Linked DNA regions of Caenorhabditis elegans. The protein of the gene in region 2 purifies or fractionates together with the protein of the main gene of each other region. This does not show direct contact. Each region holds a gene or a part of one and is shown on either strand. Other genes may lie near its edges.

Evidence for each region. The genes of interacting proteins can lie anywhere in the genome.
Region 1: the proteins of nol-56 (region 2) and garr-1 fractionate together in Caenorhabditis elegans (co-fractionation; one large-scale study listed by BioGRID). This does not show direct contact.
Region 3: the proteins of nol-56 (region 2) and snu-13 fractionate together in Caenorhabditis elegans (co-fractionation; one large-scale study listed by BioGRID). This does not show direct contact.

Annotation. Positions count from the first base shown.
Region 1 is NC_003282.8:424,282-428,977, forward strand, and holds garr-1 (putative H/ACA ribonucleoprotein complex subunit 1-like protein), read left to right. Parts: upstream 1-1,886; 5' UTR 1,887-1,888; coding exon 1,889-2,221; intron 2,222-2,269; coding exon 2,270-2,671; 3' UTR 2,672-2,923; downstream 2,924-4,696. Other genes in the region: Phosphatidylinositol 3,4,5-trisphosphate 3-phosphatase and dual-specificity protein phosphatase daf-18, read right to left, coding at 362-606, 657-867; Y66H1A.5 (Saposin B-type domain-containing protein), read right to left, coding at 3,970-4,193, 4,241-4,430, 4,488-4,696. UniProt on the Caenorhabditis elegans protein: Required for ribosome biogenesis. Part of a complex which catalyzes pseudouridylation of rRNA. This involves the isomerization of uridine such that the ribose is subsequently attached to C5, instead of the normal N1.
Region 2 is NC_003283.11:10,348,936-10,356,093, reverse strand, and holds nol-56 (Nucleolar protein 56), read left to right. Parts: upstream 1-3,115; 5' UTR 3,116-3,126; coding exon 3,127-3,225; intron 3,226-3,257; exon of another isoform or gene 3,258-3,384; intron 3,385-3,410; coding exon 3,411-3,525; intron 3,526-3,575; coding exon 3,576-3,730; intron 3,731-3,811; coding exon 3,812-3,919; intron 3,920-3,964; coding exon 3,965-4,199; intron 4,200-4,231; exon of another isoform or gene 4,232-4,361; intron 4,362-4,378; coding exon 4,379-4,711; intron 4,712-4,740; exon of another isoform or gene 4,741-4,876; intron 4,877-4,880; coding exon 4,881-5,155; intron 5,156-5,181; exon of another isoform or gene 5,182-5,314; intron 5,315-5,335; coding exon 5,336-5,476; 3' UTR 5,477-5,623; downstream 5,624-7,158. Other genes in the region: sluh-7 (Pre-mRNA-splicing factor SLU7), read left to right, coding at 279-386, 456-760, 804-2,184, 2,270-2,419; nssp-62 (Neuropeptide-Like Protein), read left to right, coding at 5,972-6,028. UniProt on the Caenorhabditis elegans protein: Required for 60S ribosomal subunit synthesis.
Region 3 is NC_003280.10:10,656,254-10,660,431, reverse strand, and holds snu-13 (Small nuclear ribonucleoprotein associated homolog 13), read left to right. Parts: upstream 1-1,805; 5' UTR 1,806-1,817; coding exon 1,818-1,973; intron 1,974-2,053; coding exon 2,054-2,284; 3' UTR 2,285-2,405; downstream 2,406-4,178. Other genes in the region: marc-2 (RING-CH-type domain-containing protein), read left to right, coding at 1-54, 104-185; rsp-7 (putative splicing factor, arginine/serine-rich 7), read right to left, coding at 224-400, 717-835, 884-1,034, 1,103-1,222; lact-3 (Beta-lactamase-related domain-containing protein), read left to right, coding at 2,764-2,918, 3,123-3,246, 4,013-4,178. UniProt on the Caenorhabditis elegans protein: Binds to the 5'-stem-loop of U4 snRNA and may play a role in the late stage of spliceosome assembly. The protein undergoes a conformational change upon RNA-binding.

The sequences.
Region 1 (4,696 bases), on a different chromosome or scaffold from region 2:
AGGTAGCAAATTTTGATGATTTTTGGGTCAATATGGGTTTTAAATGTATCTTAATCGACGAAATTACATGATATAAACTACCAAAATATGCAATATAGGGCGAGAATTCAAAAAAGTCAACATCGGCCAGATGCGACACGGAAAAGTGGCCAAAATTCGAGATTTCAGCTAAAATCGGTGTCATTTTTTCGAAATTGTGAACCGCCATAACAGTTTGCGAAGTTTTATTACGAAATTCGTTCATTTGAGCTCATTTTGGGCCTGTGTTAGTCCTCCTTCAATAGAGTCCTCATGATTTAAAATTTCAGGGCAATCACGTTCATTCGGAAATTTTAGAGCCACAGAAGTGATGAAAAATAACCTCTCTGCAAAACGGAGCCATTAATTCGAGACTCGGCGGATGATGATCAGTCATATCGAAGCAAATAACATTTCCATCGAAGTTATCCGCATCGTAGTAGTATCCACCGCGCAGGTTAAACACCTTCACGTTGCCCTTTCCGTGCCGCCTGGTCAGAAATTGTTGAGTTTGAACTTTTGAGTTACGGAAATTCGCTTCGATTCCTGTTGCTGGATAACCGATAGCTATGATTCGGTCTGTGATATCTGAAAGTTTTGAAAATTGAAATGCTTTGAACTCAAGAGAAGTGCCTTACATGCACAATCTAGGTCGATATTTTGGTACTCGGTGCGACAACGATTGGAAGATACAGCCGTCCGAAAAATATGGCGAATCCGCTCGACGATTGAATTGTGATACGGTTCAGACACACGTGGTTCACCAGGTTGTCGGTTTGGATTCTCTTGAAGGTCACGAGCCATCGACCTGGTCGATGTGCTTGGCACATCTGGAGGAGGAGTAACCATTGGGGGTTAGTAGATGTACCTGGAAACTGCAAATTCATGAAGAGGAACGAATTAGAAGAGAATTTCAGCGAATTTTATAATTTAAACATTGTCAGGTGAAGTGTGATAGAATAGAATGCCAAATGAGCGCAAAGGATTAAGGGATTAACTAGCTCATGCTAAAGCTCAGATTTGTTCACGCAGAGAGCTCAGACCCGAGAGATACGAGAGGAGCAGAAAGACAGACTACATTTCCTCGTTAAGAATGAGCTGAAAAAGAGCTAGAAATCCGTTGAAAATCGCCAATATGCGTATTTTCGACTTAAAAAAAACAAGACTGATTTATTAGAAAATAATACCCGCCAGCGCCAATAGTAGAAGATCATATGAAATCATTTGATCAAAAAAGCAAAATTTTGGTCTACTGATTTATGAGCATTTTCAACCAAGAAATAGGAAGATTTCGGATATTTTTATAACCTACGTGTGGAAAATGTTTATTTGTATTGAAAAATCAAGAAAAAATGAATAAAAATTGTCGAAAAAGCAGATAAACACCGAAAAAGATCGGTTTCGCGGCGAAAAAACAAAATCCAAAAAATGTCTCTTAAAGGCGCACGCTAATTCAAACGGCACGGGTCTCGCCACGAACGCCTCTCTTCTCACTGCATTTTTCTCTTCTCTTCGATTTTTTTTTCGATATTTTTTAACGTTTTCCAATAGTTTTTATTGATTTTCTTGTTTAAAAACTGGCAAAAAACGAAATAATCGTTATTTATAAGTTGTATTTAGAGTCTAAAGTTTGTATAGTGCGATGAAATTCTTCGAAATAGGCGAAAATCAATTTCTTGTGATTTTCTTAATTTTCTCATATTTAGAAAATTGAAATTTCTGTGAATATTATGTACAAGAAAACCCCTTTTTGTTTTGCAATACCAATTTTTTCTATTGAATTTCTCAACAAATATATTTTTATGTCCAGTTTGATTTTATTTTGCACTTGAATAACTTTAAAGTTCAAAAATTGTTTGACATTTCAGAAATGAGTTTCCGTGGTGGACGTGGAGGCGGTGGTGGATTTCGAGGTGGTCGTGGTGGCGGTGGAGGCGGTGGATTCCGTGGAGGTCGCGGCGGTGACAGAGGTGGTGGCTTCCGTGGAGGACGCGGTGGATTCGGAGGGGGCGGCCGTGGAGGTTACGATCAGGGACCACCAGAGGAAGTTGTGCTCGTCGGTGTCTTCTCCCATCAGTGCCAAGATGATATTGTTTGCAACAATACGAGTGGAAAAATCCCATATTTCAATGCTCCAATTTACTTCAAGAATAAGGAACAAGTCGGAAAAATCGACGAGATTTTTGGATCCCCCGGGGAGAACGTAAGTAATCTCTTAATTGAAAATTAATCATAAATTTATTCGCTGCAGGGATTCTCCGTCACATTGTCACAAGGAGTAAAAGCCTCTTCATTCGAACCAGAGTCTCAGCTGTACATTGATCCCGGAAAGCTTTTACCAGTTGATCGTTTCCTTCCACAAGCCGGCGGAGGGCGTGGAAGAGGTGGTCGCGGACGCGGTGGGGATCGTGGAGGACGTGGCAGTGACCGTGGAGGTCGTGGAGGCTTTGGAAGAGGCGGCGGCGGTGGATTCAGAGGCGGGGATCGCGGAGGTTTTGGCGGTGGTCGTGGAGGATTCCGAGGCGGAGACCGTGGAGGGTTCCGTGGTGGCCGTGGAGGAGACTTCGGAGGTCGCGGACGTGGAGACTTCAAACGATCATACGATGGTGGAAGTTTCGGAGGACAGAATAATAAGAGAACTAAATTCGAATAATTGTTTCTTCTCTAAAAAACTGTATGTTCCAATTGTTTTCATCCTTTTTTTTTACCAATTGTTGATTTTCTTTGTTTTCCTTTTCTCATCTGCCCTCATTTTTTGATCACTTTTTTGTTGAACTTGTTGGTATTTTATACACATTATAATAATCATATAATTTAGTTATTTTATTTCACTAATCACACAGCGCTCTGAGGCAAGCATTTTTGGCGAATAAAATTTGGAGTTCGCATTTAAGCGCGCTTTGATATATCGTTCTTATAACATTTTTTAATCGCCGCAACCAAGTTCCAGCCATTAATTTGACAGATTACACTGGAAAATTATATATTTAGCTTGAGAACAAAATCTAGAAAGTAGTAAAGTAGCAATTAGCAATTGAAATTTTGCAATACAGGTTAACTTTTGAAATTTGAAATTTTAACAGAATAGAGCTCTCAATCAAAACGGCTGAAGATAAAAATAATTCTGAGCGATTTTCATTGTTCTAATCTCAGCAGTGTACATACTGTACCACGCCACAAAAGGCGGGGCCTAAATATGAGGTTTTCTGCAGTACACGCCACGCAGTTTTCTTATTTTGAGTGTATTGCGCAACATACTTGACGCGCAAAATATCTCGTAGCCAAAACTACAGTAACTCTTAGAAGGACTACTGCAGTAGCTACTGTAGCTTTTGTGTCGATTTACGGGCTCAATTTATTATGGTGCGTCCATAGTCTGCGGAAAACGAAAATTTCCCGCGACCCGAGGCGTCCATAGTATGCGGAAAAATTGAGCGAGTTTCTCGCTTCGTTATTGGTCAATTTCAAAAGTGGCCGTGCCCAACCAATTAGAGGCTGTAAAATTTTGAGCTGAACAATGGGAAAGTGGAAAAACTGCAGGCCACGCCTACTTTTTTGAATTTTGAGGAAAACAATGCGTGGAAACTCCGTTTTTTCCCTGCACTATAGACGCCTCGGACCGCGGGAAATTCCCGTTTTCCTGAGACTATGGACGCACCATTAAATGATTTAAAAAATTAATTGATCTACTTGTTCGATAATCAATGATAAATCAGCCAGATACTGAATTTTTTCAGTAAAATGTTCTTTAAAACTTTTTGAAAGTAACAATTATTTCAGTATTTTATTATTTCTTCCAAATTCCATCTAAAAAATTTGAACAATCGCGGAATTTTGTCCCATTCGGTAAGTGTGCAAGCGCGCTCTAACGCACTCTTTGAAGTTTCATTCTCCAAAAATCCTTGCCCCAGAGCGCTGTGTAAAATCTTTAGTTTAGTTATTTGAAATCCTTCATTGGCCTTTGCATTTCACGAAAAGTTGATCCAACGTTGGACATTGGAATCCCTGCACAGCAATGAGGTCATAGAATCCACCAAGAGAGTCCTGAAGACCTCGAATAATGGCTCCGAAGGTGTCCGGTTGGAAGAGCGCTTGACAAAGGTCATCATTAAAAAGGGGGCATGCCTCACCAAGCGCTGCCTTTACGGTTGCCAACATTGGATTCTCAAGAATGTCTGAATGGATAATATTTGGATTTCCAGAGAATAACAAACGATCTTACTATAGTTTATATACTTGAGAACATCGTAAACCAAGAAGCATAATGTGCATTGAGTATTGCTAACATCTTCACTGATCACCATGGCTTTGAAGTTGCTAGAACATTTCTCAACTGCAGTGGAGATCGCATTCCAGGATTTTTCAAAATTTTCAGGCGTTTTCTGGATTTCCGAATGTAACGTGAAAATGATCTGTAAACGTTTAGTATTTTCGTTAACGCAACAATTTAGATTGATTCCAAAATTCACCTCACAATCACTCATCTTGACTGCACATCCTTCGAATTTCAGACAATGAGCCACTGCATTGTCACTTGGAACTTTTACATTTTTTTCAGCGACCGCCAATCCCAAGAATTGACATGCGGCACATTGTAGCTTCAGCTGCTCCACGTGATTAACGTGGTTTTCCGAATTCGCTGCGGGACCCGCTTGGGCGACAACAATCACGAATAATA
Region 2 (7,158 bases):
CGGACAAGGTGTTTTCGAAATAATAAAGACAAAAAAATGTATTCCCGAAAGATTTTTTATGTCGTTTTTCCAGTTTTTTTCATTATTTCTTTAAATAAATAAAGTGTAGCGCATGTACGAAACTTTTTTTCATTCTGACCGTCTCTTTTTTGATTAAAAAATGGACCTCTTCTTGTCTAGTTGCCCACAAAACGGCGATGTGTTTATTCTCAAAGTTTCTTTATATTTGTTGGAGGAAATTAATCTAAACTTCTATATCTTAATTTTCAGACATCTTCATGGCGTCTTATAAGCAGAACTTACCGCCTTCGGCGTTAATTAAACAGCAAGTCAATGTAGCAGATAAGAAATCCAAAGCTGAAGTTCAGCGCGATCGTCAACTGGAAGTGAGTTTACAATAATTTGTGCTATAAACCACTAATCATAAAATAACATTAGCAAATATTGATTTTCAGGAAGATCGAAAAGCTGGAACTGCTCCTGCAATGGTTGATGTGCAGACTGGTCGTGATATCAATCCACATATTCCCATGTTCATCTCACAAAATCCGTGGTACGTACCTAGTGAAGGACCCACTTTGAAGCATCAGAGACCGCATGAAGAAAGGGAGAAAAAGATGACTCAAATTCACGAGTGGTACCAAAAAGGAACAACGGGAAAATCGGCAACCAAGTTTCGTAAAGGGGCTTGTGAAAACTGTGGAGCAATGGGTCATCAGAAAAGAGATTGTTTCGACCGACCTAGAAAATCTAACGCAAAGTAAGTTCATTTCAAATTTAAAAAAAAACAATTTTCATTTCAGGGAAACCAATGATAATATCGCGGAAGATGACTACGTACAGCCGAATCTAACACTTGGATTTGATGCAAAAAGAGATCGTTGGAATGGATACGATCCATCTACTCATAAACAAGTAATTGAAGACTATGAGCATCTTGAAGAAGCTAGAAAAGTGGTCAGAGAGCATGAAATGAAAGAGGGAGAAGTTGAACCAGCTACAACGGAGGATGGAGCTCCAAAAGATGAGGATATGTATGCAGAAGATGCGGATATGGCTGGAGTTTCGGTGGATATGGATTCCCGTACTAGAATCACAGTGAGAAACCTACGAATTCGAGAAGATACAGCCAAGTATCTGTACAATTTGGCGGAAAATTCCCCATATTACGATCCAAAATCTCGTTCTATGCGCGAAAATCCATTTGCTGGTGTTGCTGGAAAAGAATTAGAAGCAGCTCGTTTTTCTGGAGATAATTTTGTTCGATATTCTGGTGAAGTAACAGCAGCAAACGAAGCCCAAGTTTTTGCATGGCAAGCCACTCGTGGTGGAGTATATGCTCACTCGATTGCTGAACCTACAAAGTTAGAAGCACTGAAAAAAGAGTATGAGAAGGAAAAATCAACTCTGAAAAACGAAACACAGAAAGAGTTATTAGACAAATACGGAGGAGGTGAGCACATGGAAAGGCCTGCGGATGAGTTGCTACTGGCACAAACTGAGAGTTATATCGAATACAATCGGAAAGGAAAAGTTATCAAGGGAAAGGAAAAAGTAGCAATTAGCTCTCGCTTCAAAGAAGATATATATCCCCAAAATCATACATCAGTGTTCGGAAGTTTCTGGAGAGAGGGTCGGTGGGGATATAAGTGCTGTCATCAATTCGTCAAGAACTCATATTGTACGGGAAAGCAGGGAATTGAAGCTGAAACGAGCGCAGCAAAAGGTACAACGACCTCAAACGAAGAAATTTTCAAAGTTCCGAAGTTAGTAGAGAAGACTGAAGTTAAAGAAGAAAAAGAGAAGGAAGATTCCATCAAGGATGAAGTAGCAGAAGAAAACAGTGATAATGATAATGACGAAGAAAAGGAAAAAGTATCAGAGAAGTCCATATCACCATCACCACCAAGTGACGATGAAGAAAAAGAAAAAGAACGCGAGAAGGAAAGGTTAATTGAAAAAGAACGAAGAGAACGGGACCAGCGGCGTCGTGATAAAAAACGTGAAAAGCGTGAACGCAAGAAGGCAAAGCTGGGGAAAAGAAAGAGGCGTCATCGCGATTCGGACGATGAAAGCGATCCTTCGTCGGGAAGTGGTTCAGAATCTGATTCTGATGAAGAAATGCGTAAAGCTATGAAGAAGGCGAAACGGGAAAAGGCCGAAGGAATGAAAGCTGCAAGAGAGGTAAGATTACCAATACTAATTTTATCCGGGTCGCTTAGTACTATTATATTCCTTGAAAATTCAAAATATAAAATACTTTGTTCAGGGTGATCGCGGCCGTAAATACAACACTGACTACTCCAACACTGCACCGAACGAAAAAGAAATGGAGGCTTATCGTGTGACAAGTGTTCATTCTGCTGATCCGATGGCAGCCTACATGAATTCCAAATTTGAGAAGAAACACACCAAGTAATTATTTGAAGTCGTCTCCGTAGTTTTTTCTCTTTATTGTTGTTTGTTGAAACATTTGTATTCAGTCTATTCAATAAATTATTCAATTCATGATCACCATTATTTTTTTAATTCCGATTTTACAAAATGCCCTTATTCAATAATTCATTTTCGAACGTCTGCGCCCAACTTCGTGTTAAATAATTTTTAAATACGTGCTTCAGTATATTCGTTCATTCAAAAACCTCCACGTCATGTTTTCTTGATCTGGATTTATTTACATTCTGAAAATAAATTCTAAGCACATCGATTCTGGTGAACGGCTAGAAAAATTTCGATTTTTCCCGATAATATTTCGTTCGTCTTTTTTCATTTCTATAGAAATTTCTAATAAAACGTTTTACTGGCGTAATTTTCTCCACTGCCATTATTTTGTCCGAGTGGAGTTCACGAGTAGTAAAGGCACACACTCTTTTGCGAATAGGTCTCGCAGCGAAAGAGGTACGCCGTCGTCTTTTTGATTCGTCCTTATTTTTTCTCCGGCCTATTTTTGATACTTATCGATCCAATTTCGGTTTTTATTTATTTATTTATTACTGGAATGATAAGGAAAGATGTATTTATAAACAATTACATTAATGTTCTATCAATTCTTCTTTACTTAAAGTCTCACAGTTTTTGCACCCTTTTTGGTTTTCTTGAATAAATGATTTTTCAGGTTCTTACACCATGTCGGAAGTTCCCCACTTCGTGCTCTATGAGCATGCAGCTGGATACGCTCTCATGAAGATTAAGGAGTTTGATGATGCTGGTCTTATCCTCCAAGAGGTACGTTCGCTCGAAAAAAGTATTTTTAAAATATCCTCGCTTATAAGCCGGGGGACTAGCCTTTGCTGAGTTCACTAGTAAAACGCGAGGAAAATTATAGAGACATCCAGACACCGATTATGTTGTGATATATTCGGTCACTTCGTATGTCCCACAGTTTAGTGCTTAAATTAACGCATTTTCAGGTCGATGCCGCTCATGCTGATGGATACAAGTTCTCGCAAATCGTTGAGCTTGCTTCGTTTGATCCGTTCAAAAACACCGAAGCTGCATTGGAAAACTGCAACTCCATCTCTGAAGGTAACAAAGACCGATAAGTTTTGATGGGGAGTAATTATTTTAATTATTAGGTCTCGCCCACCCTGATCTCACTAATTTTCTTCAAAAGTCGCTTCCAAAAAAGAAAAAACACGTTGTGCTTGGAATCAATGACTCGAAGCTTGCGGGTTCGCTTACTGAAGCGTTCCCAGATCTGAAGCTTGTCTTCGGAGGTGTTATCACCGAGGTAACGTGAAGATTCACAATAAACTCTTTGGAGTTTACCTGAATCTGTTACCGATGACGAAAACACATATTTTGAGTTTAGATTCTGCGTGGTACTCGTGTTCATTTCGAGCGTTTGGCCAAAAATCTCCCACATCACTCCTTATCGAAAGCTCAGCTTTCTCTCGGTCATAGTTACTCTCGTTCGAAGGTGCGTACCTCGATCGCGCTTTTTTCTCTAAATGTTTTTTGATAGGTCAAATTCGATGTGCATCGTGTGGACAACATGGTTATTCAATCGATTGCCCTTCTCGATCAGTTGGACAAGGATATCAATCTTTTTGGAATGAGAATCCGTGAATGGTACTCTTACCATTATCCAGAGCTCTTCCGTCTGGCTCCAGATCAATACAAGTACTCTCGCCTTGCTGTCGCTATCTTGGACAGAAACAAGATGGCTGAAAATGAGAACCTCGAGAATGAGATTCTTGGTAAGTATTATAGTTCAAAATGTAGATTTTGGGTAACCTCTCTTATAAGCCGGGGGACTAGCATTTTGTTAAGTTCACTAGTAAAATGAGAGGTAAAGCATAGAGACAACCAGACACCGAGAATGTTTTGATGTTTTCGGTCACTTTGTGTGTCCCACAAATATTCTTTCCTTTTTCAGAAATTCTTGACAATGATTCCGAGAAAACCGCTCAGATCATCGAAGCGGCCAGAACATCAATGGGAATGGATATTTCCGATCTCGATCTTGAGAACATCAAGAGATTCGCCGCTCGTGTCTCTTCTCTCATGGAGTATAGACAACAACTTCACGAGTACATTAAAGATCGTATGGACCACTGTGCTCCTTCTCTCAGTGCTCTTATCGGAGAACAAGTTGGTGCTCGCTTGATCTCGCATGCTGGTTCGCTGACCAACTTGGCCAAGTATCCAGCGTCCACTGTCCAAATCCTCGGAGCAGAGAAGGCTCTTTTCCGTGCCTTGAAGACCAGATGTAAGTCATGAAAAATGTATCATTAATTGATGGCATGTATTTAATGCGGGTGGATGATTTTAGTTCAGCCGTTTAGCTTGCATGCAAAATTATTTTCTATTGAAGATTTTATTCGCTGCACTCGGTCATATTCGAGTCTATGATTTTTCTGAAATTGGTACATTTTCAGCCAACACTCCAAAGTATGGACTTCTCTTCCACTCCAGCTTCATTGGAAAAGCTGGAACCAAGAACAAGGGTCGTGTGTCCAGATATCTTGCTAACAAGTGCTCCATTGCTGCTCGTGTGGATTGCTTCTCCGAGACTCCAGTTTCGACATATGGAGAATTCCTTCGCCAACAGGTTGAGGATAGACTTGAGTATTTCACCTCCGGAACTGTTCCAAAGAAAAACATTGACGTCATGAAGGAGGCCGAGGAAGCTGCCGTTGAGGTTAAGGAGAAGGTACAGTTTTGCGCAAATTTCCTATTTAGCATGTATTTAATGCGGGCAAATTGTTTTAATTCGGCCGTTTAGCTTGCATGCGATATAATTATCCATTGAAGAATTTTTAGCTGGGTTTCTCTCATTTTAAACTCATGATCTATCTTTTAAGGAAACAATCAATTAAAAATTGTATTTCAGGTCATCAAAAAGAAGAAGAAGGCTGCCAAGAAAGCCAAGCGTCTTGCTGAAGAGTCTGTCACTGCAACTGCTGAAGCTGAGGTTGACGAGGATGCTCCAAAGCCAAAGAAGAAGAAGAAGAGCAAGGCTGGAGACGAGTAATCTTCATCATCACTACACCACTGATCTTTTTTGTTTTATGAATGTAACTCCCCCATGTTGAACTATTTTGTTTTTGTTGACTGTTGGACCCCTACATCTTGTTGTTACTCTGTTTTCTTCTTAATGAATAAACTTGTATAATCCAGCGTAAATGTTTTAGAATTGACTTCACATATAAACTTCAGTGCGAGTAATGTTCGAAAGTGCTCTGTTCACTACACTACGCGAAGCCGTGTATTAAGAATGAGAGGGCGGCGTCAAAATCTCGAGAAGGGCGGGGCCAAGAGAGCAAGACTGGAGCTTAGAAAATGCACAACACGTCAGTTGAGACTCAGTCAGTCTCATAATAGGTCGGGAAAACAACCCTTTTCGTTCTTTTAGAGAGTAAATAATAATTTCATTAGTCGCCTTTATTGATACTGTCTTATTTTCAGATCTGTTTTCAAAATAATTATTAATTTCCAGTATTCTCTTTCTTTGGTCTTCCTACACAAAATGAATTGCCGGCTTTTTGTCATTTTCGTCTCAATTCTCGTTACGGTTTTTGCACAGGTACAGGTTTTATTCATTAAAAAAAGAATGGAGAAGAACTTTAATTATAAAAAGCTAAACTTATTTTAACTTTGTTTTTGCAAAAAAGCTCAGAATATAGTACTACTTTTGAAGAAAAAATCTCTAGAAGCCAAAAGTTTTTGATTGGAAGCGTTATTTTTTGGTAACTCTTGCCATTTGTGCAATTTGGAATGTAGAAATTCATATGCTTCAGTCTTGAATGGAAAACTTGATAAACTTTCGGTAGATAAAAAATTATGGAGATCGTGTCGAGAACCACCGAAAGAATGCACGTGTACCTTTAAAATGATGAAATCCTTACGAAACTATTTACGACAATTATTTAGAGAAAGAAAAATATTAAGAAGAATCAAAATAATTTGTCATTTTTAATTATTAATACTACCAGCCGTGGACCGCACCTCCGGCGCGGCCCCCGACTTCTGGGGCTGAAATCTTATTTTTCTGAAACTACCGTAACCCTACAGTATTCCTACCTTACCACTATTGTACCACTACAGTACCCCGACTATATCCCTACACTAACCCCAACTCACTATCCCCACAGAAGCCAAAACTTCACAGACTACAAAGACTACATTGACTACAAAATATGGACACACAGAATAAGCGCTTTTTATATAGTAAATGATTTTTGGATTCTTAGATGTATTCCTGGAATTATGAAATCTTCAATTTATCAAAAGTCACATAACCTGTGATTTATATTGCATGACAATAATTCCAATCAAGGATTTCTAAAGAATTATCATATTTTTTCTCCAAAATTTCTAATCCTTTTCTATCATTGTAGTCGCATTTAGTTTCATTTCAAAATGGAACTTCGATCTTCAATTGACGTGGTTGTAGTTTGCATGGAAATCGTTAGCATTTTCACCTGCATATTAATTGTGATTTCATTTACCTACGGGGAAGTGGGACAGATGATTCTATGTCAAAGTGATTAACATATTTAAATTGGCTCATGTGCTTCTGAATTTTTCAGAATTGTGAGGGTTTGGAGAGTAATAACACGAATACGTAAAAATTTGAACGGCTTTCTTGCCTAGCTTTTTTGAATAGTAATGTCGCTCGAGAGTAATGACGAATTTCACCTGGAAAATCCAATC
Region 3 (4,178 bases), on a different chromosome or scaffold from region 2:
TGTTTTCTTCGAGAAATGGCTTATTGATAATACAATTTTTAAGTTCAAGGATAGGTAATTTTCTATGTTTCTGATAACTTGATTTCTAACTGATATTTTCTAGATCTGGAAGCCCGTCAAGCCAAATTTCAATTGCAAGTCGATCTAGCAAGAGAGGAATGAAAATGCCAATAAATGCACATTGATAGAAATAAATCTTTCAAAAATATCGTTTTTAACCTACCTCTCCAAAATACATGTTGAACAGTTCGAGAACCTCGTTTCCATCAACACCTTTCGGAAGATTTCCAACGTAGACTGTTCTTCGAATTTCTTCGACTTTGGCAGAATCCGTGTCAGCCGGTAGAGGTGGATAAGCCGGTAGTCCGAGCTGCTCCAGTGTCGGATCGACTGTAATCAACTGAAAAATGGAATAATTAGACGGCGCGAAAACTAGAAATATTGCAATTTCTAAAATATCAGGAATTTGAAAATTTCTAAATTTAATTGCTTTCATATCCGACGATGCGCAGCATAGATTGGCGAGGATACACTGAAACTGAAAATTTAATCATTCGGCGAGTACTAACAAAGTTTTTTGATGATTTTCTGGATTACGCTTTCGGGATTTTACTGCATTCGTCATTTGGGTAGTGGCCAGTAGAACTGTAAAATGAACAAGTAACGTCCGTTACCACCAGACGCTAGTTGGAAAACTAGTGGGAAAATAAACTTACCAAAGCAGATCCATCGTCAGATTCTTGAATTTTATTGGTGACGTGAGGTGGGAGCTGTCGCTGACCAGCCGTTGTAGATCCACCACTGTTGAAAAAACTCTCCTCGTCCGGAATCACAGCTGAAAAAATGAAACTTTATGAAAAAATGCAGCTTTCAAAAAACTCACGATTCGGATATGGTAGGCAGACTATCGCGCAATCGATGACGACTGTGTTGGTGAGATGCTGAGCTACTTCGACACATCGCTCGTCGTCGAACTTGATAAAAGCAGTTTTCAGGAGAGTATTAGCTGTGATATTACCTTCTGATGGATAGACCTGAAAGAATAAATTTTTAATTGAAATTTTTAATCGAAAAATGTGTAAATTTGGAATAATAAACCAACCTTCAAATCCTGAATTTTTCCGAGATAGTTGAACATGTTGTAGATGTGATCCCTGGTAGCCGATGTCGAAATGTTGGCGACATGGAGAATTTTTACTTTTTCTTTCTCCTCCCCCGACATTCCTGAAAATAAAATAATCAATTTTCGTCTTGAAAAATAGAAAAACAAAATGTAGTTCAATAAATTTAAACCGGCGACGTAATTTCAAAATTAACATGTAAAAATCTATCGAAAAGGCATAAACTATTAGAAAAAGTTAGATTTTTATCGAAATTTCGTTTAAAATCGATAAAAATCAGATAAAACATGTAAAATTCAGGTTAAATCGAAAATAAATGCAGCCAAATTCGAATAAAAAAGAATCACTGCATGTTTGGCAGCGTGCCAACATCTTGTCGCTGCGAGACCCGTCCACTGTCTGCGTCTCTTTTTGGGCCCTTTTCGAAAATTACAAGTAGTTTTTTTCTCTTTTCTTTTGTTTCTCCCGTTGCCCGTTGTATTTTTCTTCGGAAATTAAATAAGTTGGTACAATAAATTAAAAATAAATGGAATTTTGATTATCTATTACTTTCAGATATGTTACTAGTGCAAATCATCGTAAAAATTTGAATTTACAGCTTTGAAATCGTTTTTATTATTTTTTCTCTTGAATCGATAAATAATTCTTTCGCATTGTAGCAATTTTCAACCATCTTTATTTCAGAAAAGAAGAAAAATGGCCGATGATGGAGTCAATCCGAAGGCCTTCCCACTGGCCGATACCAACTTGTCTCAAAAGCTCATGGATCTCGTCCAGCAAGCGATGAACTACAAACAGCTCAAGAAGGGAGCCAACGAGGCCACCAAGACTCTCAACAGAGGAATCTCTGAGGTAAGTGTATCGTAACCATGTTGAATTGCATTCCCATTTTCAAAATCAATTTTCGAACCAAATTAATTGAATTGTTTCAGATCATCGTCATGGCCGCCGATGCCGAGCCACTGGAGATTCTCCTCCATCTTCCACTTCTCTGCGAAGACAAGAACGTTCCATACGTCTTTGTTCGCAGCAAGGCTGCCCTCGGACGCGCTTGTGGAGTCACTCGTCCAGTGATCGCTGCTTCAATCACTCAAAACGAAGGATCTCAGCTCAAATCTCAAATTCAGAAGATCAAGGAGGACGTTGAGAAGCTTCTCATCTAAATCCTTCTTTTATCAATTTGTTGTTACGTTACCTCATTGTTGTTATATGATAATCCATTCATTGTTTTGTTGTCCCAAATTGCAAATACATCGTTTTTGAAAAAGAATGAACGTTTCTGCGAAACATGGACATCTGATTGTTATCAAATTGCATAATCGGCTACACTGTTCTAAAGTGTATCTTGGACACACAAGTACTTCATTGGCGTATGATGATGCGAGTAAATAAACCTCCCGGAACCGGTTGCATTCTAATTCGACCCCCGTTTGCCCTAGAATGTGTCTCTTCCTAACCATTGGCTTGCTAATTCCACCCCAAACGCCGTCACAACCCGATAGGGCCGCCAAAAAAAAGGCAATCGCTGATAACTACAGGGAGTCGCTTCCTCCGGGAGAAAAGACGGTTTCTGGCAAGGCAAGCACCGCCCATCTCCGTGTGCTCTGTCTCTCCATTCCCGCCGCTCCGTGTTCCCACCAACATGCAACAGTTTTCTCTACTCTTCAAACTATTTCTAGCCACAGTTTTATTATCTGTAACTTATCGCTTTGTATGTGATCGGTTATATTCAAATCACAAATCCGATGTTAGTGGATTTGTCGATGAACGTTTCGAGAAAGTTCGAGAGGTTTTTAAGTAAGTTCGACCTTCCTGCTCTCTTTTTTTCTCATTTTTCTACCCGTGTGAAGTGACAAATGTGTTTGACTGAACTGAAATTAATATTTACTTTGCCGGCATGCGTACAGGCAAATAATCTTTTTCTATCGTCATCTTTATTTTATTTTAAAAAAAAGAAAAGGAAAATGTCTTGCAAAAATCCTGGAACTTGTATTTTTACAGAAAGAATTTCGAAAATGGATGGGAAATCGAAGGATCAGCATTCGCTGTATTTGTTGATGGAAAGAAAGTCGTCGATTTATGGGGTGGATATGCTGATAAGCAGGCGGCAAGGAAGTGGGCTGAGGTAGATTTTTGAAAACAAAAAAAATAAAATCAAGCATTTTTCAATTTCAAACTTTTTTACTATAAATCTTGGGTTTTTTGCACCAAAAATACGGTTCCCCAGGTTTTTTTTCGATTAAAAAATAATTTTCCTCGAGATTTGGTTTTTTTTCCAATAAGTAAATTTGTTTTTATCGAAAAACTACGAAAAATCGATAAGAAAAATTCCGCTGCAATATAAGTTCAAAATTACAGTACTGTTTAAAGGTGCACACAAAAATACGGTTCCATAGGTTTAACCACGACACATTTATAATAAATGCGAAAAGACGTGCGCCTTTAAAGAATACTGTAACTTTTAACATCTGTTGTTGCGGAGTTTTTATCGATTTATCGTAGTTTTCTCATTATTTTCGTAAGCTTTTTTTGTTTCCATAATGTATTAAGTAATTAAAAAAATCATGAAACTTGTCGTGTCGAGACAGTATTTTTGACTCAAAATTTCGCACCTGAATTTCCAAACTTTAACCCAATCTAATACTTTGCCCTTATTTGGAATAATTTATCGTCGGTTTCCCTCATAGCTTCGACATATATTTTTCCACTGTCGTCAGATTGATATGAACTGATAATAATATCAATTTGATACGGGGAGTTTTTCGGTTCAAAACGGTTTTTGAAGTCTATAAAATTGAATGGAATGGCACAAAAACAGAGAAAACATTTTTGAAAAAAGTTGTGACATATCAGCAAAACACAAAAATTTTTAAAAAAATTGATTGTTTCAGGACACAATAACAGTGACGTTCTCGACTACAAAAGCTGCCGCGTCATTAGCAGTTGCACTGCTCTACGAGCAAGGAAAATTGAGATATGATGACCCAGTATCCAAGTATTGGCCAGGATTTGGAACTCATGGAAGAGATAATGTTACTATAAATATGGCACTTTCTC